3 linked regions of the Oreochromis niloticus genome follow. The protein of the gene in region 1 purifies or fractionates together with the protein of each later gene. This does not show direct contact. Links are inferred from orthologs where the notes say so. Each region holds a gene or a part of one and is shown in the gene's direction. Other genes may lie near its edges. The genes, in order: phlpp1, usp1 and usp46.

The links.
Region 2: the proteins of phlpp1 (region 1) and usp1 purify together in Homo sapiens (affinity purification with mass spectrometry; 6 studies listed by BioGRID and IntAct, counting the BioPlex papers as one, with this or other methods). This does not show direct contact. The link is inferred for Oreochromis niloticus from reciprocal best matches to the Homo sapiens genes PHLPP1 and USP1.
Region 3: the proteins of phlpp1 (region 1) and usp46 purify together in Homo sapiens (affinity purification with mass spectrometry; 7 studies listed by BioGRID and IntAct, counting the BioPlex papers as one, with this or other methods). This does not show direct contact. The link is inferred for Oreochromis niloticus from reciprocal best matches to the Homo sapiens genes PHLPP1 and USP46.

Annotation. Positions count from the first base shown.
Region 1 is NC_031982.2:17,682,470-17,690,548, forward strand, and holds the start of phlpp1 (PH domain leucine-rich repeat protein phosphatase 1), read left to right. Parts: upstream 1-5,045; coding exon 5,046-5,064; intron 5,065-6,080; coding exon 6,081-7,670; intron 7,671-8,079. UniProt on the Homo sapiens protein: Protein phosphatase involved in regulation of Akt and PKC signaling.
Region 2 is NC_031981.2:33,420,642-33,428,338, forward strand, and holds the start of usp1 (ubiquitin carboxyl-terminal hydrolase 1), read left to right. Parts: upstream 1-4,671; 5' UTR 4,672-5,040; intron 5,041-5,068; exon of another isoform or gene 5,069-5,248; intron 5,249-5,522; 5' UTR 5,523-5,590; coding exon 5,591-5,763; intron 5,764-6,091; coding exon 6,092-6,236; intron 6,237-7,697. UniProt on the Homo sapiens protein: Negative regulator of DNA damage repair which specifically deubiquitinates monoubiquitinated FANCD2. Also involved in PCNA-mediated translesion synthesis (TLS) by deubiquitinating monoubiquitinated PCNA.
Region 3 is NC_031986.2:37,319,412-37,326,756, reverse strand, and holds the start of usp46 (ubiquitin carboxyl-terminal hydrolase 46), read left to right. Parts: upstream 1-4,315; 5' UTR 4,316-4,696; coding exon 4,697-4,732; intron 4,733-7,345. UniProt on the Homo sapiens protein: Deubiquitinating enzyme that plays a role in behavior, possibly by regulating GABA action. May act by mediating the deubiquitination of GAD1/GAD67.

The DNA of each region.
Region 1 (8,079 bases):
ATTAGCAGAAGGGTGTGTTCCTCCTCTTTCATAATGAAAAGTCCAACTCTGTTGTTTGGTTTGCCTTTGTGAAACACCCTGAAGCAGTCCTGCTGGTCACTGTCCAGTGATCTAAGACTTTTAATGAGCTCTAGAGTTTGCTGAGCAGATATTCTGCATCGTCCTAAACACTACGGGTCACACCTGAGGTCCACTCATGTGAAAATGTGAGAAATCATAAGGATTCAGCAGTTTGGTTATGCAACGTCTCCACTTACATAAGAGTGTAATTGGACAAGCAGTGCCTCAAGAAGCCCCCCAACACTGCTGTGCTGATGTTTTATTTTGTTGTTTTTTCGTTTGCTACTTCTGCCGTCCAACACAGAATTTTGTTTGTTCTCCTGCCGTGGACGCATCCTCCCTGAGGCAGGAGAAGCAGTCACCTGACTGGGGTTCTGTTACATGCTGTGACATTGTAGAGGGGACGTAAGGTCATTAAAAAAGATTGTATCGTACCATTTTTATATACAGAAGCCATGATTCACTACCCACTGGTTTGGACTCAAAAGCTTGCTTTGGTGAGGCCTAATTGGTGAAATTACACCACAGTGTCCCCTGCTGACGCATTCAGATCACTGCAGGCTTTTTTTCCCACTCTGAAATCTGCTTTATTTGGAGCTTTGGATCCAAAGAATATAAAAAAGTAGATATAGCTTTAATGTTCTAAAAATAGATCTGTCATGGTCAAATCTAAAAATTCCATTTAACGGCATTCTCTTTATGTGTCCTATATAAATCAATGCTATCAAAACTTTATGTTATTTAAAGAGGAATCTATCCAAGTAGATCATTAACAGATTGTAAATTATGTTAGGGCTGTTAGAAGTCTCAAGAGGGGGAAATTGAAGTTTCCTGTGATGTGAGAAAAGAATTCAGAAGACTCATTCATGGCTTTGAGATGAGCATAAATAATGCATGAAGCATACTAAAAGGAGTCAGGGCTTAAAGGCTGCCGTTTGTGAGCTAAGCCTTTGCAGCTTCGCTCAGTCTTCTTCCTCTTTGTCCTCTGCAGGCAGCTATAAGGAAGGAACTCAACGATTTCAAGAGCAACGAGATGGAAGTGCACGAATCAAGTCGCCATTTAACCAGGTACAAACTACCAGCTTGCATGATTGCTATCACTTCAAATGCAGCCAAAAATATTGGCACGCACGTGCCGACTTCTTCTTGAAACTTCAAAACCTCTCTCTCTTTTTAAAAAAAAATATCTTTCTAGGTTTCACAGACCATAGTAGACCACCACTGTCTCGAGCAGTGCCCAACCGGCGCTCTCCTCCACTGAGAACCTTAAGTGCTGGACAGCAAAATGGTGCCCGTTTCTACAATAAGGCCATGTCTTCTGAAATGCCTTTTCAAGTCCCACACAACTGAGTCGGTACTACGCCACAAGACGCAGACACCCACTACTCCATCCATGTAGTAGCACACAAAGACTCCAGCCGATTCACATTGCCCCCGCCCCGTGTGGAATTTGCTCGACTATCTCTAAACCTCTCTGCTGAGCTCTCAGGCAGGCACTCAGTTCTGTGGCGATTGGATAGCAGACCAGTTTTTTCGTTTGATTGGCACGCTTGTGTCATCTACTGAGGGCAACTGTACCTTGGTATGTCAATAACACCAGTAGACTTGTCTCAGTGGAGATGTTTTTATTCCTCTTCTTTATTATGCTGTCACACCAGACTCCTTTAGCCCTTACGGACAGCTTTTGTGCCAGGATGCAGGGTTGATTGTTCTGAGCTCATTATGTCAGCAGAAGCTCCATCATTACTACACCTGCTGGGACTTTGGAAACAGCTTAGAGAAACAGGAGGAAGGGCGGGAGGGAAGGAGGCGTCCAACATTAAAAATCATGTGCAATACGGTTTTTTTTCCTTCTGCTTTTCTTAGACTATAGCACCCCCTGGAGTTTCCTCTATGTCATTACTATGTAGTCCTGACTTCTTTCATGCACTTCTCACTGTACCGAAAATGCTGACATTTAATTGCTAACTGTGAATTTAAGAGTTGGGCCTAACGCCTGTACTCTCTCTCTCTTTAAATGTATATTTTGTTTATACTGAAGAAGGTCAAATTTAAAGAAGAATCTCGTTTAACTACATTTTATTCATGTCGGTCTTATAAATTTACTGTCAAAATTGGCAGCTGGCAGATATTTTCTGGTTTCCAGTGTGTGCAAGAATGACCTGTTTTGTATTATTTTGACAGTGTTAACTGGTTTTTTTTGTTTTTTATAGAGGCGCTCGGCTCATAAACAATTTACGTCTTTACATGTCAGTGCTTTGATGTGTGTGATTTATATCAAGAGATGACTCACCACATTGTCTTTTTTCTTTTGCAGAAGTGTGTGAAATGATCTTTGCTCATAACGTGCATTGTATTATACACTTTACTTTTATACTTGTGTCACCCAAGCTTTTGACGAAGCAATACCCAGCGTTTATAGAGAAAAGGTTAAACTGCAGGTGTACCCCCCCACACACACACACAAACACACACACACACACACCATTGTTTTTTACTGTGCGTACATACTATGCCTACACTTCAGGGTTTAAAGTTTTCTTTTATACCTTACTTTTAAAAAAAAGGAAAAAAAAGGCTTTATTCTGGGGGACTTTTTTCAGCAATTTTCTTGACTGAGCCACCTGAAAATCTGCCTCTTTGACAGCTTTACCGACACATTCGGACAAGATTTGATGGAACTCTCAACAAAAAAGGACGCATTCTCTATTTCAAAAGATTTGAGCACTGATTTTAGTGTATTCACTGAGTCAGGATTTTTAAATATTTTTATTCCTAAATATAGTTTGCACTGTTAAGAGTGTGGCTTTAAAGTGGCCGTTGTTTCAAGGTAAAGTCCAAATGTGTAAAATATTGTTGGATTTCTGAGGTGTAACCAGTGTGTCTCTTCACTTCAGTGGTCTTTGTTACCTGATCACCGACCCTTCACCAGTAGTCCAGTGCTCACGAGCTTTATGTGCACAGAATATTTTCATTATTTTCTACTGTATTGCTTTTAAAGTTGCAATATGAAATTGTCAGATGAAGAAACAGTGGAGTTGAACGGCTGCCGCTCGCCTTTTACAATACATCTGTCTGCAAATTAACAGGGTTTTCGCGGTGATAGATGACCTAATGAAATCAGGGAATTGACGACAAAAAAAAAAAGTTTTGCACTGCATGGTTTGAATGTGAATGGATAGGGGTTTGCTGAATTTCAGATCAGAATCAATACACAAGTATTTTTCTTGTCAACCCCCCTTCTTCTTCTTCTTCTTTTTTTTTTTTAAATATCAAAATTTCAATGGGTCATCTAATTGCAGACACTTTAATATATGTGGTATTTCGTGTTGGGAGCAGCTTCTGTATAATTCAGCCATCTCAACATGTTCTTTCATTTTTTTAAGTCCAGAGGTTCAGTACAAGCATAGTAGGAATAGGGAGGAATTTATATTAAAAATAAACTCCAGTTCTCATTTTCAGCTCTTTAGTAACAACCTGAGCCAACGGGCTGAGCATGAGGTTTTTCCATTTTGCTGGAATCAAGGAACATGATGTCAGCAATAATCTGATTCCTTTTACATGTCTGTGGAGCAACTGAACAAAAACTGAATGCAGTCCTCTTTTTTCCCCCCATTTTTAATCTACAGAATACTATGTAAAGGATACATCATGCCAATTAAACTCCATTTCTGAATGCATTTACTTTGTATGCATTATTTTTGTACATATTTTAGGCTTGTTCTTTTATCCTTGTAGTAATTACAGTCTAAGATCACTAAAACACACTCTTCTTGGGCTGTTACTAACTTATAGAGTATATACAGTAAAAATTGTGCTTATGTTTTATTGATAGAAATGTTTACTAACAGTATTTACATTTCAGAGCCTTCTTCTTATGGTCCAGTAAACTTTCCCATGAAGACTGTAATTTACAGTCTCAATTCAGGTGTAAAATGTACCTCAGTTTAGAATATTACAAATCAGGTTTGGACCATTAGGTAATTCCTTATGATACTTTGAGGCACATGTATATAGGGCAGGGTTCCCCAATCACAGTCCGTGAGGGCCGGTGTCCCTGCGGGTTTTAGATCTCACCCTGGGTCAACACACCTGAATCACATGATTAGTTCATTACCAGGCCTCTGGAGAACTTCAAGACATGTTGAGAAGGTAATTTATCCATTTAAATCAGCTGTGATGGATCAAGAACACATCTAAAACCTGCAGGGACACCGGCCCTCGTGGACTGGGATTGGGGACCCCTGTTCTACATGTGCACATTCAGAGATGCTTTTCTGAATATGTTGGTTGCAACAAGTGTTTGAGTTACTCCTGCCTTCCTGTTAGTTCAGACCAGCCTTGGTATTCTTCTCTGGCATCAACAAACCCTGGAGATGATTATGAGGGAACATCTTAGTAGATAATCCATCCATCTTCTTCTCCTTACAGAAATTCAGGGTCATAGGGGGCCGGTCCCTATCCCAGCTATCATGCAAAGAGAGGCAGGTTACATCCTGGACAAGTCGCCAATCTGTTACAAGGCAAACACATAGAGACAGACACAGTTTAGATAAACAGTCTCTGAAAGACTCAGATCAGCCCATCTAGCACCAACAACCATGCCTTTTTCAAAGCTGCTTAAATCACCTTTCTTCCCCATCCTGACGCTCTGTTTCAACTTCAGCAGGTCATCTTGACCATGTCAACATGCCTGAATGCACTGAATTACTGCCATGTGATTAGCTGATCCTAACAAAGTTGACAGTTTAAATAAACTATAATCCTTTACGCATTGAGACTTCCGATATACAAAAATAACGTTTTTCATTTGAATATGTATGGATATTCAAATGAATAACCACTCCTCCTAAGCAGTAGACGTTAATGACATAATATTTTTGGTCTTTTTTTGCAGGATTTTTAATTCCACACAGGTAAAACGTACTTTTTTTTAAACCAAATTACATTGTGTGGGTTTATACTGCTGTAATATATGCGGCAGAATGCGAACAAGTCTGTCTGGTACAGTAAGGCTCGCTGTGGCCTCAACGCTCCACTAGATGGCGGAAAATACAACAGAATAAGTCGACGTACACTGTGCCGGACTGTATGGCCTTGTGAAATGGCGTCCTGATGAGATGGTGCCGAAGTTATTTGCTTCGTCACCACTTGTCTAAAACATTTAGACCTACAGCGAGGCTTAACTTAACCCTGTAGCATAACAAAAACTTTCTCTTTTATTTTTAAAATAAATAACCGCCGTGTAAGCTAGCTAATGTGTAAGGAATCCTCGATAACAGTTGAAAGTTTCCTCACATATTCAACAGTTGACATCGATAACTCACTGTGTGACTGCGTCTTACAGTTTTACTCGCTGTTAGCGTACAAGTAGCAAAAGGTGAGTTCGCCACAGTAAACACAGGACGGGCATCTGTAACGCAACACCAAACATTTTATAGGCGCTATGTTTACGCCTCTCAACTGTTCACCGCCTCACTTGACTGAAAGTGCAGAAAGGCTTGCTGGGAAATGTATTTTTTTAACAGTTTCGTCCCGCCAGCGGCGACTACAAGACGCTAGCTAGCGCAATACTCTTCCCACAATGCACCGCGTTGTTGTTAGCGACCCCCATCTTGTGTCCTCCTCATGAATATATATTAGTCGGTATTTGCGTAGGAGGTCGGCCGACGTTCATTTCATATTCTAGCGCTGTGTTTTGGTCCAAATGGGACGCACAGTCACGTCTCCGCCCTGATCTGTCCCTGCTCGTCCAGCCTCTTTCCCAGCGAATTTAATCAGTAAGATGTTTTTGGGGAGCAGCGGAGGAGACTCCGACAGGGAAAGGAAGGCGAGGAGTGAATGACTACTAGTGGAATAACTCGGCAACACCGCCCAGTTGGCGGACATTTAGCGCGGCGGGCACGTATTCGGGCTTTTAAATGTAGAGCTTTTAGGCATAACCAAGTGCGCACCGTTATTTATTTAGAGCGGGGGACTTTTCATTGGCAGGGATGGAAAGTGTACAGGCTGTCGCTGAGGATGGCGCGTCAGATGGAGGCGCGACCAAGTTAATGAAGAAGCCCAGCGGACTGTCTGTCGCCCGGGGACTCCAGCGGATGATGGCGGTGGACGTTTGGCACCCTCCCGCGCTGAGGCAAAGAACGGGAATAGCCTTTCTCATTCCGCCTCTACAGCGGGGACTAGTGCGTCAAACCGAGCCGTGGCGTCTAATGACCGGAGCTCATCCAGCAACTCCAGCTCGCTCTTGTTGAGACGGAGGCGCTTGAAGAGGAACCTCTCAGCCGCAGCTGCAGCCACCACTACCACCTCAGCTGTCACAGCCGCTTGCGGCGCGAAGATGAACTCGGCCCTGTCCTCTGCGTCTTTACATACTCGAAGTCTGGATAGGAAGACTCTGATGAAGCACCGACAGAACATGCAGCTGCAGTCCGCAGATCGCGAGTGGGTGAGAGCAGATCTCCACCGGGGCGCCATACATGTCCACGACAGACTGACGCCCTCGTATCCCAGGCCGGTGCTTTGCACTATGGACACCACAGCCGGCGAGGTGGCCCTCCGACTGAGTAAACTCTCCAGCAAGTCGAGCTCTGTAATGCGTATTTTTTGTAAAGACGCCTCCAAGACGGACCAAAATGGGAACTGTAACGTGAATTATGAATATAATGATAATCAGGGCAAGGTAAAAGAAGACTCGAGTATAAAATGCAGCCACCTGACCCCACTGGAAACCACAGATTTAAGGACCCGTCCAAATGACAGGTTGAGACTGCTCCTCATGGAGAACGCAGATGTCAGGCAAAAGCAACAGGACGTTGATGGAAAACTTTTCACCCCGGAGTCAGAAGACAACATAACCTGTTCGCTGTCAGACTTGAATTCTAACTCTAACATGGATACCCCCAATGACGATGATTCGGAGCACAGGAACGGTGTGGACAGTTATGGATTAAACTCTGGCTCAGATGTAGAAAGCAGTGCATTTGACGACCTGAGCTCCGGGGCCCGGCTCAGTGAACACAGGGACTCCCTGAGTGATGACATGATCCTGGGAACTGAAGCATCCATCCTCAGTCCCTCCTTTGATAGTGCCACAGAGGGCCATGACATGTACGGGAGCTCCTCAGACGAACTGGAACTCGACTGCCCAGCATCGAGCTCAAGCATGGACCCCATCTCCCAGCATCATACTAATGGCATCACTGCTGTCACTGCCAACTACAAGCAGTGCAACGTGGGACATTTAAGCGACGTGGGGCCAGATAGCAGACTCAGCCCACACAGTCTGGGCAGCCTCCCACCCAGCAGTAGTTCCGGCTCATTGTCAAGAGCTGGTTCTACAGGTAACACACCTGACATCCAAGATCCGGACTGTAGCCAGGGGGCCGTAAAAACAGGGCTCACAGCACACCAGAATGGAGATTCTTATAATTCCAGCCCCACACTGTATGTTCAGCTGCATGGTGAAGCTGTTAGGAGGCTTAGCCCAGATGAGAGGCCTCTGCAGATCCAGAATGACTTTCTCTTTAAGCTTGGATTTAAGAACCCGTGGAGAGTTCAAGAGGAGGGGCTTAACACAGAAATTGGCTCCTTGTTACGTTTTTATGCAGGTAAATGAAACTACGTGTCTGTGTATACATGTATAATATGACTAATATCATTATAATATCATACCATCGCGATCCATGTGTGTTTTGCTCATGCTGATACTTACTGAGGCCTTTATATGAAGCCTGTGTTGTTTGGAGTAGAGATCCGTAATGTTGTAGTGCTTGGAACAGGTTGTTAACCTGTGAAAGAATGAATCTGGTGGATTCAGACATTTGTATGGTATGACACCATATCCGTTTTGCAGAGGTAGGATAATATTTTCACAGGATGAGCTTGTGCAGTATGAGTGCAGCACAAAACCTGATAACTGCGACAACAGTTTAGAGGGTCATTATTAAAGGTCTGATAGACTAAGCCTGTTTCCCAGTGATGGGTTGCTATGTTCAGGTTATCCGTGTGCTTGCATTA
Region 2 (7,697 bases), on another chromosome or scaffold:
CAAACTACTTTCTGTGTGAGAAAGGAATGGAATAAAGTGTTGATGTTACAGTTATAGTCATAGTGCAGCAGATAAACATATCCATCCATTCTCTTCTCCCTATCCTTATAAACCCCTCTCAGACAGGATGCAAAACATGTGAAAAGTGAGAAGCGTAAACTGTTCACTTATGCTTGTGTTTTTGCTTTTTTGGATCACGCTCCAGTTTTCCTTTGTCCCAGCTGCTCTAAGCTGAAAGAAAAGTCTCTGTTTTTCATTGCATTTCTGAGTACATATGTGCACACAAGTGTAGCAGACTTGGACATGCTTCTCATTCTTGGAGTTCACCACTGCCTGTCGTTCAGCATGCTTTCATTTTCCTACCAGCGCTCAGTTCTTGAGAGAGAACCAGGCTGGAGGCTGGAGGAGGGGGGCTGTTTTGTCTCTTGGGCTTTAAGCCCGCCACACCACCCACCTCTACCGCTCCAGCCACTAGAGCTTTGGGCCTCGTGGGACAAGGCCAACCTTGATGAAGGCCACTTGCATAATTCAAGCACCTCATTACTCAAGTTCTTGTAAAACTGGTCCATAAACAGTATCTGAATGTGTTACATTCAGGTACAAGAGAAGCTTTTTTTCTTCATCACTGTTCCTCGAGTCATTTTTTTTTTTTGTATGCCTTCTAAAAATGGAAAGTCTCTCCGGTGAGAGAGAGTATTGCCACCAACGTTTCATAGCACAGATCTCTCCAGTTATCGTATTCAGCGTCCAAAATACCGGAAAATAAAGCCCTGCTTACATTTGACCCTTCAGCATACAGCAGCTTGATACGTGGGTGACCTGGCTATGCCCTCTTTATAAAATTCTGTTATAAGGAGGTGATGAGAGAAGCGAAACACAGTAATCCTCCTGAATGTGAGTCTCCTGGTTAGGATTTAAATGGTGAGTGAGAGAGAAAGCATATCCAACACATCCCCTCCCCGGCCCGCCTTCTGTAATCTAAAGAGATCACTAGCTGCTTGTTTGATCTGTAATGAAGTCACACAACAAGAGTGATTTAGGATAAACTGAACCCACTTTAAGTGAAGTGTGGGACTCTGGTAGGCTCTAGTAAGTTAATTAAGAGGTTTGCTGTTAAAGCTACCTCAGAGCTGGAGACTGAAGAGTATTCTGAGCCATCAGACTGAAGGATGGCGATGGCATCATCATCTACAGTCCCACAGGAAGTCTTAGCACCCCTAAAGTACTCCCATCCACTACTGCATCAGCATCCTTACTGCAACATCCTACCACCATCAGCCTGAAAGCCACTGAGGTTTTCTGGAAGCTGAGGCACAGCAGCTCAGTGTCCATCGGTACGTTGCTGCTGACCAAGCAACCACTCTGCAGCAGCAGCAGCAGCAGCTGTAGCAACAGCAGCAGCGGATCGTCCAGCCTTCATACTGTCGTACTGACAAATGCCTGCACTGACTACGTGCATGGATGAAACGAAACACCTGCCGTCTCCCCATGTCTGTGCCGCTTTCAGGTGATGCGATCCTCTCTATATCGTAAAAAAAAAAAGCAAACAAACAAACAAAAACAAAAAAAACACGCCAGCCAAAGCACTCTGTAATACTGTTAAAGCAAAACAGTGCAACTGATACAAATAAGCTGTAAAGAAGATTAAACTAGACGCACTCGCGGCCCGGCTATTCGAGCAGATTTAGGTTTATCAATTAACGCTGGAAGCAGGGGAAACGTAAACAGTGTCTTACCGTCACAGTCGCGGAGGGATAGCCTCGGAGACTGTCAAACGATGAGATGCTCCGGTGAAGGAGGGAATGATACTACTGGACAGATCGATCTCCGTTCGGCTGGATAATGTCGTCCCCTGTTGGTGCAAAGCGGGCAGTGCCTGTACAATAAGCGTTTTGGTTTCTCTCCCTTTTTATGTATTATGTATACATGTAAATGGCTTCCTTAAATACAATTATGAACAGCTGATGTGGGACAAGCTTCGTTATTAAACAAAAGTCCACAAATATACTTTGGTTCCACAAAAAATATATAGTTTCATTTTAACAGCTGCAAACTATAAACTTCCGTTTACTTTTTTCAAAATAAAAGAACTGGCTAATGAAAGTCGGTGGTTGCCATGTTCTTGCTCAGGATTTTAGTAGGACATTTGCTTGGTTTGTTATCTACGACTTTAAATGGTACGTGCAAAAATCTCATCCCCACTCAAACTAAACTAACTTACTTAATCCCAGAAAATCAACCCCGGTTATCTGGTGGCAGTGACTTCCTAACTTGGAGGACTGCAGATTTCCCCTGTTGTGCCAAAAAGTGATCAACTGTCAAAAAAGGTCAGATCTAGTTCAATTCTACATTTTTTTTTTATGCGTAATAGCTTTTCTTATATTGGTTAATAGACTGTAGTCACTGTATAAGATTGAAAAAAAAAATACCTGTCTGCAAGTATCTTTGACTCCATTATTGTAATTACATTATAATCAATCCAGTCCTTTTTGACCACTTAGAATATCTTTATAGGACTGGGATGTTAAACTTGCTGCAATTTCTGCTTGTCCAGTTCTCTCTTGGAAAAGGGCATTTTTTAATGTCAGACACTTTTTACCTTTTTTATTGCAGCATCTACCTTGTGACAGGATTTTGGTTCTGGCTCACAATGACTTGATATCATTAATGAGAGCACAGCACAACAGCTGACAGGGCCAAAGTTTATTTTTATGATCGTTAATATGCAAACTGTCAAGACCATTCATCAGTGGCCATGAGTACCATTCAAAGAGAATTGGAGAATAGCCACAAACAGCGCTGTAAAATGGTGAAGTAAGGCCCTGTCCTTGCTTCAAAGATGGTCATTCCCTTTTCATGTAAATGACCTTCTTGCCTCCATGTTCAGAATGGTCTGGGATAACCAGGAATCCTTCAGCTTCCCTGCCCTGTATTAGCCTAAGAATACATCATTCACCATCTTAAAGTGTTGTTATTGCAGTCACTGTGATCATTGATCAATGGCCCATTGTTAGTCATTTGTGGGTGTTTTCAGTCATCATGCAAATGAACTGCTTATAATGCTGGGGAAAGCTGCAGTCAGCTGAAAAAGTCACTTTGATGAGAGATGAAACGTTTTTCCCACTGAAATGTACCTCTAGATGAACAGATTCAACTTTGTGGGATTTTCTTACCTGGATGACTGAGCATAATTCATAATTTACTATTATATAACTATACTATTATAGTCTCGTGGGGTTTTTTTTCAGGTAATGATTTATTTTTTTTATTTTTTTTGCTGTTGGACCCAGTTTTGTTCATACTCATTGGCAGTGTTGGGAAGGTTACTTTTAAAATGTATTCCACTACAGAATACTGAATACATGCCCCAAAATGTATTCTGTAACGTATTCCGTTACGTTACTCAATGACAGTAACGTATTCTGAATACTTTGGAATACTTAATATATTATCATGCTGTTTACAACTACGTGAATGTACTATTGCTGTGATTTATTACTGTTACTGAAGGTCCGAAACGTAGTAAAGGGACCTCGGGCTAATACGTCGGGTTCGTGTCGGGCTGGTAGCCGAAAACTAGCTTTACTTTGTTGTCTGGGTCAACTTTGCTTGCGGGAGACAGAGAGAGGCGTTGAAAGGCTGCTCCAACGGAACTTATTTTTCCCGGAGGAAAACACGAACACAGTGTACAGTTGAGTCTTAATAGCTTACTTACAAATGGGCTCCTCAGGCTCTCTTCTTGGCTGCTGTGGTTATTATTATATTTACATGCTTCCAGCTCCCGTTTTTGCTCCGTGACAGCTCGGACTTTTCCTTTCTCTCCCTCCCTCGCTCACAGACACATAACGGGTATGGTAGTCCATTCTCCCTGCAGCACGGACTACACTGCCCATGATGCTACATTCTTTAGAGCTATGCCTGTAGCAGTCTGCCTATTAGCTTAGCACAACAACAACAACACAAAGGCGCTGTCTCACCCAGGAAACACGCAGAGAGAGAGCGTCACCCTGTAACCATGGCAACCGTAACGCTGCCGCCTGGAACAACAGAACGTAGCTGTCAAACAAACCCAAACAATCCTGACCCGCGACAATATGAAACAGGGAAGTACCGCCGTGTATTCCATTTATTTCACCAAAGTAACTGTATTCTGAATACCACCTTTTTAAACGGTAACTGTAACGGAATACAGTTACTCATATTTTGTATTCTGAATACGTAACGGCGGTACATGTATTCCGTTACTCCCCAACACTGCTCATTGGTTTGTACTTAATAATATTATGCTTTCTATACAAACATCTGATTCTATGTTAACCATTTTTCTGTAAATCGCAATTTGGTGTTGGATCAGATATATAAAATGTGAAGAGGATTCAAGAAATATAGAGCACAGTCTCCCAAATTATACCTCTTATACAACAGACCAGCTTCAGCTTGTCTCAACTTGAAATTTGAAAGCCTCTGTGGCCCTTGGCTTCCATGGAAGCCTTGATGAGTTGTATACCTTTTTTTTTTTTTTTTTTTTTTTACATTCATTTAATGAAAGCAATTTTTTTTTTATGTCCTGTATTTAAAATCTTAGTCCTTCAAAAGGGAAAAAAAGTGAGACATGAGAAATGACTGTTCAAGTTTAGCTCGACTTTTAATTAGAAGGAGCTGGAGAAAGGACTACAAGAATGGCGCTGGGAGCTGGCCGGTTGGGTCTAGCCGAAATAGTTGTCTTAACATTAGCCTGAAATCTGGCATGTAAATCTTTTCAGGTATAGAATATTCCAGAGTTCTGCGCGCATTTCCAAATGTTCGGCAACACCTGAAATATTTTCAAGCTTAGTAGTGACCGTTTTTTTTAAACATTTTGGCCGGATGATTTGACGCGATATCCGAGCGCTGCCGGCGATGTAGCGGCCAACGAATCTTCAAGCAGGAAAAAGCGCCAACTTCTGTTGCACCGTCTGAATTGTTAAACAGTCCTTAAAGCATTTCGAGACGGGATATTTAATGGAAAATATCAAGCTTAAACTGGAATGAAGCATTCGGGTGAGTTTTGGTTCTCGACTCTGCTGGGATTTCAAAGAAGTCCTTTTTGGCCGTGAACAGTTTGAAACGGCGTGCTTTCTGTTTTCTCCTCCCACTTCTTCACCGCACCTTCTCGAGCCAGTTTGTCGCTGTGATGTGCGCAACGTGCTCAAAAAACGCCGAGTTATTTGTCGCTACCCTGTCATTTAAAACGAAAACAGCTGCTAACGTAAGCCGTTCTATAGCGGTTGTTTGTGGGAGGGACTGAAACAAAGTACCACCTTTAAGTTAGCGTTAGCCAGCTAACATGTTATATAATGCGTGGTTCGGTCAATAACCGGTTCGACTGTATTATTGAGAAGTGTGTGCTTGATTAGACTGAACCTGTCCGTGTGTAGCTGCACAATAGTGGACCATGAACTTAAGTGCGCAGCTACGTTCGTTCTCGTTGAACTCTGATGGCGCCCGCTGAAATTACATTGTGTGTTTCCATTTTTCACCAGTGAGGTTCGCTGTTGCGTCTCAGTAGGAATTTAAAAGAAAAATCGCCCTCAAGGTACTGAGAGGAAAGATGCCAGGTCTGCAGGGTGAAAGTGTGGTAGTAGCGGCTCCGGGGAGCCCAGTGAAGAAGAGCAAACTCTCTCTGAAGTTCTTCCAGAAGAAGGAAACCAAGCGGGCTCTGGATTTCTCTGAACCTCAGACAGAAGAACCCAAAACATGTGAGCCAGAGGAGCCTGAGGCAAGGTAGGTCTCTGCTACCAGTGTGCGTCAAACACAAATAGTTTTCCAGACTGATGTGTTTTGGGCAGCCCGAAGCACTCGTTTTCCCACAGTTACATTTAGATAATTACGGGAATTCCACTGTTGTTGTGAGGGCAGGATAATGCACGTGTAGATGAGTGACACCTTAGATTTTAATAGGCTTCATCTCAATCAAGCTGGTGTTAGACTTCAACATTAATCTCAGTGTAATCATTTTAAAAACAGTGTGTGCCCGCGATGGTGGCTGTCATTTGTGAAATTCAATTTATTAGCTGCTGACTTTCTGTTTGCTTTCTTCTTAACCGATCAGCAGCTGCGATCAGGTGGTCCCTGGGCCTTCTCAGTGTCCTTCCTCACCCAGCCTCCTCCTGTCCTGCGAGAAGAGAGAGAACTTGGTGCCGTTCGTGGGACTCAATAATCTGGGCAATACCTGCTATTTGAACAGCATCTTACAGGTGAGCCATTACCACAGATGGAGTTAATTTCCAGCGTTAATAGATGTTTTGTCACTTGTTCCAGTGTTTTAGTACAAATGGTAGGATGGGCTTAAATATACTGAAGGAAAAGTTGAAAACTGCACAGAAACTTAACAGTGTGTGTGGTTTGTTCTTGTGCGATTTAAGTTGCATTGAATCCTCAAACCTGTTCACCTGTGTTATCCCACTCAGAAGTGGATGTTCTTGTGATGTTGGGAATGTTCAATTTTCTGATGGGGAAATTGTGGTTCAGCGGTTGTAGTGTGATGGCAGTCTGTGGGGAGCTTTGGACTGTTCTACCTGCAGAGAGCCTCTGTAGTCAAATGGAGGCAGTGCTAAAAAAAAAAAAAAAAAGTGGTTCGACCGGTCTGTAGGCTACTACTGAGTGTTGTAAACAATGTACAGTATCCACTGCAACCTCTGACTGTACTTCTCATACATTTTTTTTTTTTTTTGAACTTCTTTCCCTGTTCTGGCCCACTTGTCAACCAGTCAGCACATTTCTGTTGGTTAAAAACCCATCTCTGTAGGTAAATATCTCTGGAAACTAGGGCTGCCACGATTAGTCGACTAGTCACGATTACGTCAACTATCAAAATCGTCGACGACTAATTTAATAGTCGACGCGTCGTTTGAAGCTTTGTAAGATCCCAAAAGACGCAGGAGTAAGTAGTAGGATTTAAGAGTGTAATAACGGACTGAAACAGAAGATGGCAGCACTGCATGTACAAGGATGCCTGCTGCCGTTAAACCCCAAAGAAGAAGAAGCTGTGTCCCAGAATTCATAGCGCGGCCCTGCTCAGTTTCCAATGATGGCGGCAGCTAGTTAGTTTTAATATTACTCTTATTATTCTTTCTGGGTCACAAAATAAACGTTTAACCTATTTTCAGGCGAGAATGTAGCTGTGTAAACCTCAAATATCTGCTCAGTTTATCAAGACACCACATGTTCTCAAAAGTGCTCCGACGTTTTCGGAGACGTCTGTTACCCACCAGCTCGATAGCTAGCCGGGGTTCAAGGCTCACTAGAGCCGTTGAGAACACCGGACTCCCGGCAAATCGTTTTCAAACCCACCGCTGTCTTTCGCTACTCAGGTTAAACGTGATATATAAGTCACTTAGATAACTTAAAAATGATATTGTTTGGCTTTTTTTAGTATTTTATTTGTTCCTGAGTAAATTGGTTTGGCTGAGATTAAAGTTATAGTTTTTACACAGCTGAATAAACGTCAAACAGACAACTGATTATCAGAAGTGTGAGATGCTCGAGAATATACTGTTATATTTTAGATAGCAAGGAGCAGACTGCTGAGTTTATTAAACTTCACCTAAACAATCTGCAGATTTCATTAAAATTTAATAAAATATCATCTTGTCTTTATGTTTAGTTAGCACATACTTTAAACACTTAAAGCTGTAAGCTAATGATAGTTATATAAG
Region 3 (7,345 bases), on another chromosome or scaffold:
TTTAAACTTTTCTACAACAATCTTAATAAACTGTTCCTAACCTTGATGTTTCAGAAGCCTGTGCCAGATGTCACAAGTCGGCAGTGAATCACAGCCTAAACTGGGAAGGATTATTTCCTCGTGATGCATAATTCATTTTGCCTCTCTTTGTAGCAGCTAAACAACAGGAAGGTCATCGGTGCTTTTAGCGGCGTAGCCAGCCTCTTTTACTGGAAACTTTTTTTTTTGAAACTCAAGATTAAAAAATTTTTTTGTGTGTTCCCTTGCCCAAACATTTAGCCCCACTTCTGGTCTCAAATGAGGCAAGCAGAGAAGGTTCTTTGAGGTTCATTTTTTACATGTTGTGAATGCAGACGTCCTGTCAGCTCCACCTAAACATGAAGAGGAAAACACTAGATGAGAGAGATTAAAACTCCAGATAAACGCAGACCGATTGACCCACCTTTTCGGTTCACCTGAGGCCTTCTGCCGATACATGAGCTGTCCTGCAAAGTTACAGAGATAGGAGATAAAACTGATTTGATCTCATCAGGGAATAGATCATCAGAGATGCAGAACAGGAGCTGGGTTTCATTGTAAATGCTTTTACAATGACCATATTTTTCTTGCTCTTATGGTTACTTACTGAGAACATAAAGAGCAGGAAAAATGACAATAAAAGCAGTATGAGTCATGGCATCTGCATCCACTGTGGTCTCTGTCCTATTAATACTGACTGGACCGAAATAGAAAGCAAGTCTGGGAATGTTTTGTGTCAAGAGCCAAGAGCTTCAACCACATGTAATTGTTTTCCCATCCATCAAACGTTTTTCACAGATAAACCATGAGAACACATCAGTCAGCAAGATTCTGAGTAAGTACATGGTGCATACAAAACATCTGATCAACAATGTAGCTCTCCCATCCTCCACAGCTCAAACTGTCCCCCCTGTTATTCTGTTGTTTGTTTTTCTGTTAACACTCTTATTCCTTTCTCCTTTTCCCGTCCCTTTTGAAGTATGTCTGTCATAATTATTCATTGTTTTCCTTTCTTTTTGTTCATATTGAAATGCTAAGGGGATAATTGCTGAGGGAATGTTTTGAAAGCACAAACAAAGCTGCTGGTAAATGAGAGTGTCCCGAGGGCCCAGGACTCCTGAGGTGTCCTTACCTCATAATGCCCTCTCTCTCTTCCTCATGGTCAGCTAATTGTCAGTTAGAGAACCGAATAACTGGAAATTAAATGATAATTTACAGAATGTCACCTTGCAAAAGAATGATGGCCAGTACACAACATACGTTTTCAAAGTGTAAAGGATTATCTCTGAGGCCTCTCAGTTTCAGAAAGGATTCCTCTGAAGTCTAAAGAAATCTCTTTTTGATATTATCAAGGGTTGAGGTCTACTTTTTAAACAGAAGGCCTGGATTGCAAACAGGCCATTTGAAATTTAAAAGAAGCAGAGGTTTAAAAAGCAAGCAGCGTTCCAGGAAAGATCCCAAGGGATGCATCATGAAAACAGGATATATTATGTTACCTTTTCCAAACTGATTTTGGATTGGTGAATTTGGTTAGCACTGGTGTCTCACAGTAAATGGATTCTTGTTCAAACTCAGGCAGGGTCCTTCTATGTGGAGTTTACATGTTCCATATGTGCTTGTTTGGGCTTTATTCAGGAGTGCTTTCTTCTTTTTTTTAAATAAAAAAAACCGAATAAATAGGTATTGCCAACTTGGAATATATCTATCTTGGCCCCAGAAGAATCCTACAAAGAGGTAATTAATCTCAGGAGTTTCACTTCCTGGACAAATAAAACAAACTCAATGTGAATGCCATATATTTATGAAATTTGAATATTAATTTTCTTGTATGCCTTGTTCGATTGTTTTTCGTTTGTTTTCAGGTTAAACACAATATCTGTTGGATAGAAATTCTTCAAATATGATCACATTCACCCAGGCTGTTTTTACTTGTTTTCAAGTTGTTAATGTTATGACATTTTGCACAGAATAAGAGATTCGTGTTGCTTCAGATGCATTTTTACTACTGGAAATATTTCATCTAATTTAAGCTGAATAGTTGAGCAGCACATGCAGGAGGTAGAATACATGACACCCATTCGCTTACTGTAAGTTTACAAGACAATGACCTGCTTTGTTCACACATGGGCTTAATTTGATATCACACAGTCTTTATGCTAGAGAGTTGGCAGGTTAAAATCCACTTACTGGCTGAACTAAGTGAGTCAGACATTTGGATTCCTATGTGTAACTCTGCCCGGGAATGTGTAGTGCATATGTGAAAACAGCTTTGCATGCAAGGACCTGTAACTCAAGAATTCCTAAATTTATGACAATGGCAAAATTTTCCAGAAATGTAAAACGGGATAAAATGATGAAGAAATTTGCAATTTTGACCAAGAGGTCAAAATTGTTGCATTGTAATATTATGCAAAAACACTTTTTCGCAGCCTTGAAATAAAGGAGACTGTGATCATATTTTATTTTGGATACTGAACTGGTGGCAATAATCTCTGCTGGCAGATCTCTATATAAGAGACAGGACAGACAAGGGTGTAAATTACAATACTGGAAAAATTGCGAAACAGTAATTCTAGTAACTGAACTCATACTTTTCTGCTCCATTTGAGTAGTCAAAGCACTTTTAGAAATGTGAAGCTAGAGACTCCAGTAACCATAGTTAACTGTATTCCAGGGCTAGAGCAGACAACACTGGAGAAAATTTGATACTGCTGTCTAAAAGTAAGCATATATTCAGTGAGATTGCAAATCACAATGACAGTAATGACACCCATTTGCGTCAATCGGAGGTCACTAAAATTTAATATTGAGTCTCGTGCCAGGAGTGACATGGTTAGCTGCATGTTCTCCTTAAAATGCTGGGTGTCCAAAACATGATGTGGACTTCAAGGTCAAATGGAACCAGGAAGCAGAGGATGCAGGATGAATACGTTAGCTTAAATGAGTCATACTGACTGTCAGAATCCTCAAAGCTAAGGCCGAGGAGGAGGAGTGGCTGCAATCTTTCACTCCCTGTTATTAATCAACCAAAGACCCAGAAAACTCAAAAAACAGCTTTATTTGTTATCTATCATTCACCTCATAGTTTCTAGCTGATTTCTCAGAAAATGACTTCAATAAATGTTTTGATTAAAAATTAAATTTTTAAGAAAAAAGATGTGCCATTAAGTACAGCAACTTTCAAAATTACTGATATTGGACTCTTTATTTAGACGCTTTCTGTCCAATTGATCATACTGAGTTAACTTAATGTCTTCCTCTAAACCATCACTGTGACTTTTAACTGATCATTTCCAAAGGAATAGTTTATTTGAAGCATTTTAATCAGGATTTAAAATACATCATAGCACAGAAACAGCACTAGTGAATATTGTAAATAACGATCTTCTTACGGCTTCTATATTACACAAATATGTAAAGACTCCCTTTAGTCATTTTCACAATATCTCTAATATTTAGAAACAGCCTATTTAGAAATTGACGCTGAAAAGTAAAGTCTTCTTTACTCATCTCTTTTTTACTGCCCGTGTGTTTATACACCAGTACTGTATGTAATCATTAGTAATTCATGAACTCTGGCTCCTTTCCACGGGACACAGCAGATGGCTGCTCCACCCTGACTCTGGTTCTGCTGGAGGTTTCTTCCTGTTAAAACTGACTTTTTCCTTCTCACCGTTGCTTGATCATAGATACATATCTGATTGTTTGGGTTTTCTCTCTAATATTATAATGTAAAATTGCATTGAAATGGAATCAAATTCAGTGTCTTTACCCATTCATAATTTTTTTTCTATGCTTAAGTACTTTTAACTAACTCACACACTGGTGGATGCATCTGGGACAACTCGGAGTTCAGTATCTTGCCCAAGGATACTTGGACATGCAGACCAGATGAGGCAGGAATCAAACCACTGACCTTTTGCGAACCACTCTAGCTTCTGAGCTACAGCGACTACTCTTAAAACATATGTATTGACAACTTCAAAAGGTATCATATAGCAAAAAAAAAAAAAGCTGCTGGTTTAAGAATGTGCTGTTTGCGTCGTTAGACCTGAAAACATGATTTTTGGCTCACACCACTTCTTTCTTCTTTATGGGGGAATTACTTGTCTGTGTTATAAAGCATAATATATGTTTTTATGTCACTAGAAAGCTTTTTGCATAAACCCTTCAGTCCTTTTAAATTTCACAAATCACAAAACGAACTACAAATCCCTGCTCTAAATCGCAGATGATTGGTTGCGGCTCACTTAAACTCTACCGTGCAGGTCTGTATGTGGCTCTTCAATCATGTCAATCAATTCGACTAAATCCGGACCAATCAGCTCCGGGGGTTTCCCCTGGTGGGCGGGACTGTAATGCTTCCTCACACAGCAGGCTCGTTTCCTAGACGTTGCTAACAACCTGCTGCCTGCAACTTTCGTCTGTCCCCTCGTGCACTGTCGTTTTCCAGCTGAGGGGTGTTCGATATGTGTGCGAGGATGCAGCCGTGTCCACACTGAGAGTCCCCCTCAGCTCCGTGCCGGCTGCATGGTGCTCCGTGCCTCTCTGCCTGCTTTCTGACGCTTGAGGTTGCAGTCTGGCCTCCAGCCTCGACTGCGAATTAACTTCATTGCTCAGCGTCGCCTTGCTCTATTTATTTTATAAAGATGGCGGTGAAGGGGACACTGTAAACTAAATGACTGTCAGAAACATCGCCTCCATTTGTAATATGGTGAGTAACTCGCTGCTTTTCCGTGTTGATATCGATCCGCTTGCAGGCACTGTGCTGAACCTGGTTGTGTGTGTGAGAGTGTGTGTGTGTGATGAGTCGCCTCCCACCTGCACCCAGAGAATGTGCACACTGCAGGGTTTTTTTTAAAAAAACGAGTATACACAGTAGTTTAAATCGTGGCCCCATACTTTAGTTGGTCTCAGTGCTGTCGCTCAGACAGGGCCCCTTTTGTGCACCTTTGCACGCTGCAGCTTGCCGGGAGCGTTTGCATTGTGTGTTGCATCCTGGCGAGACAACACAATGTACAGTTTGTATAGTTGTCACCGGTGATTGACAAGAGGGATGGGGGGAGCGTGCTGCCTTTGACAGCTTGGTGTGATTGCATAATGTGGTGCTGCAGCAAAGGACCGGTTACATCCTGGTAGCACAGAGCAGGAATCCACACTAATCTGTGCTCCTGGTGTTCAGGGGCAGTGAAGAGTGGGTAAGAACAGACTTAAACGGCTCTGCCTAATGCCAGTGGCCTTTGCTTTATTTAGACTAGATGCTAATGTGAAAAGCCTGCAGTGTCAGTCTCATCTTAGAGCTGCTGGAGTTCTTAGATTGCACAGACTGATATATTAATCCATATCTCATCAGGATGTGTGGTGTTTTTCTTTTGTTTCTAGATATATATATATATATTCAGAATCTCCTTTAATTTTACAACAATGTTTTGTCCTGTCCTTTTTTCTGGAAATAATTAATGGCAAGGGAGTCAAACAGAAGGAAAAAAAACAAAATATATAGACAAACAGAAGAAGACGGCTGTAGTGATCGATGTAGCGGTCCCGAATGACAGCAACATCAGGAAGAAGGAACACGAGAAGCTGGAGAAATACCAAGGGCTCAGAGAAGAGCTCGAGAGGATGTGGAGGGTGAAGGTAACGGTGGTCCCCGTGGTAATCGGAGCACTAGGTGCGGTGACTCCCAAGCTAGGCGAGTGGCTCCAGCAGATCCCGGGAACAACATCGGAGATCTCTGTCCAGAAGAGCGCAGTCCTGGGAACAGCTAAGATACTGCGCAGGACCCTCAAGCTCCCAGGCCTCTGGTAGAGGACCCGAGCTTGAAGGATAAACCGCCGCAGGGGCGCGCTGGGTGTTTTTTTTTTTTTTTTTTTATATATATATATATATATATATATATATACACACACATAGTTCAGTATTATGTATAGAGCACCAAAGACACCTCAAGGCACTTTATATTGTAAGGCTAAGACAGTATGAGCACTTGGTGACAATGGGAAGGAAAAACTCCCCTTTAACAGGAAAAAAAGCTAGCAGGACCAGGCTCATGGAAGGACAGCCATCTGCTACAACTTGTTGAGGGGTGTGGGGAGGAAGACAAGACAAAAGACACACTGTGAAAGAGAGAGCGGAGATTAATAATAAGTCATGGGTAAATGAATAGTGCTGTATAAATACACTGAGTGAAAAGAGGTGAGTGAAGAAGAAACACTCATGGGAAGCCTCCAGCAGGCTAGGTATATTCCAGTGAAACCAACTGCAATATATATATAGTATATATAGTAAAATATATATATATTACTACACTAGTAAAAGCCTCGCAACAAGTGTTCCACCAGACATAAAGCGGGAACAAGCAGTTCACAGGAAGCCATCATCATGTGATTTTTTTAAAAAACATTTTTTATCCTGATCGAAATATCAGATCGGCGCATTCCCACTCAGTATGTCCCTAACCCTATTTATTAAATAGTCTTAACTAAGTAATCTAATCGAGATGTTACAAGTTAAGGACGCACTGATGGATATGGGCAGATAAAATGCTACAGTGTTTTGCACCAGTCATTATATTATCATTATTATTATTATCCATGGATTTTTCTTAACACTGACTAACCTAAATTGCATGAGAAAACTCGTGCAGGAGCAAGGAGAACATGCAGACTGCACACATGCAGGGCAACAAGTTCAATTAGGAACCTTCTTGCTGTGAGGCAACAGTGCACCTTCAGTGTTGGATGAATAATTGTTATTTCAAGCTGTCTCTCTTAATCAAATAAACATGTAGAAAGGAGCATAATATCTCTCCTTTAAGAATTTATTCCTTTCTAAATTAACAATACCACTGCCCACTTCCTGTTATCAGAAGGAGCTCAAATTTCAAAATGTGGCTTCAGATGTCAGTAAAGGTTGGATGGATAATTCATGTGTGGACTCTCCTTGGTAATTCGTCTCTCCTGGGACCTGCATGTTTCCCAAAACATTGGAGACTGGAAGTGGTAAGCCGGACAGACGGGTATCCATTGTCTGCTTTGACAGATGAGAAATGACAGTCATTAGAAGTCAAAGCCTTCCCCAACCTAAATTGTCTGCTGTGTTCACTCAACAAAGCTGTGATTCATTTGAAAAAGCTTTGAGCTCTGACAAGTGAAAAGCCTCTGACAAGAGATAAGTGCTCTGTCTCAGCAATTGGGTGCAGCAAGAGTCCCGACTTTTGATACGGGTCTACCTATTTAGACTATATCCGTTTTCTACGTTGACATGACTTGTTGTTCTGACCAAAGGAAGCAAGATGTGTGGAAGTGTGTGCTTTCTGCAGAAAATT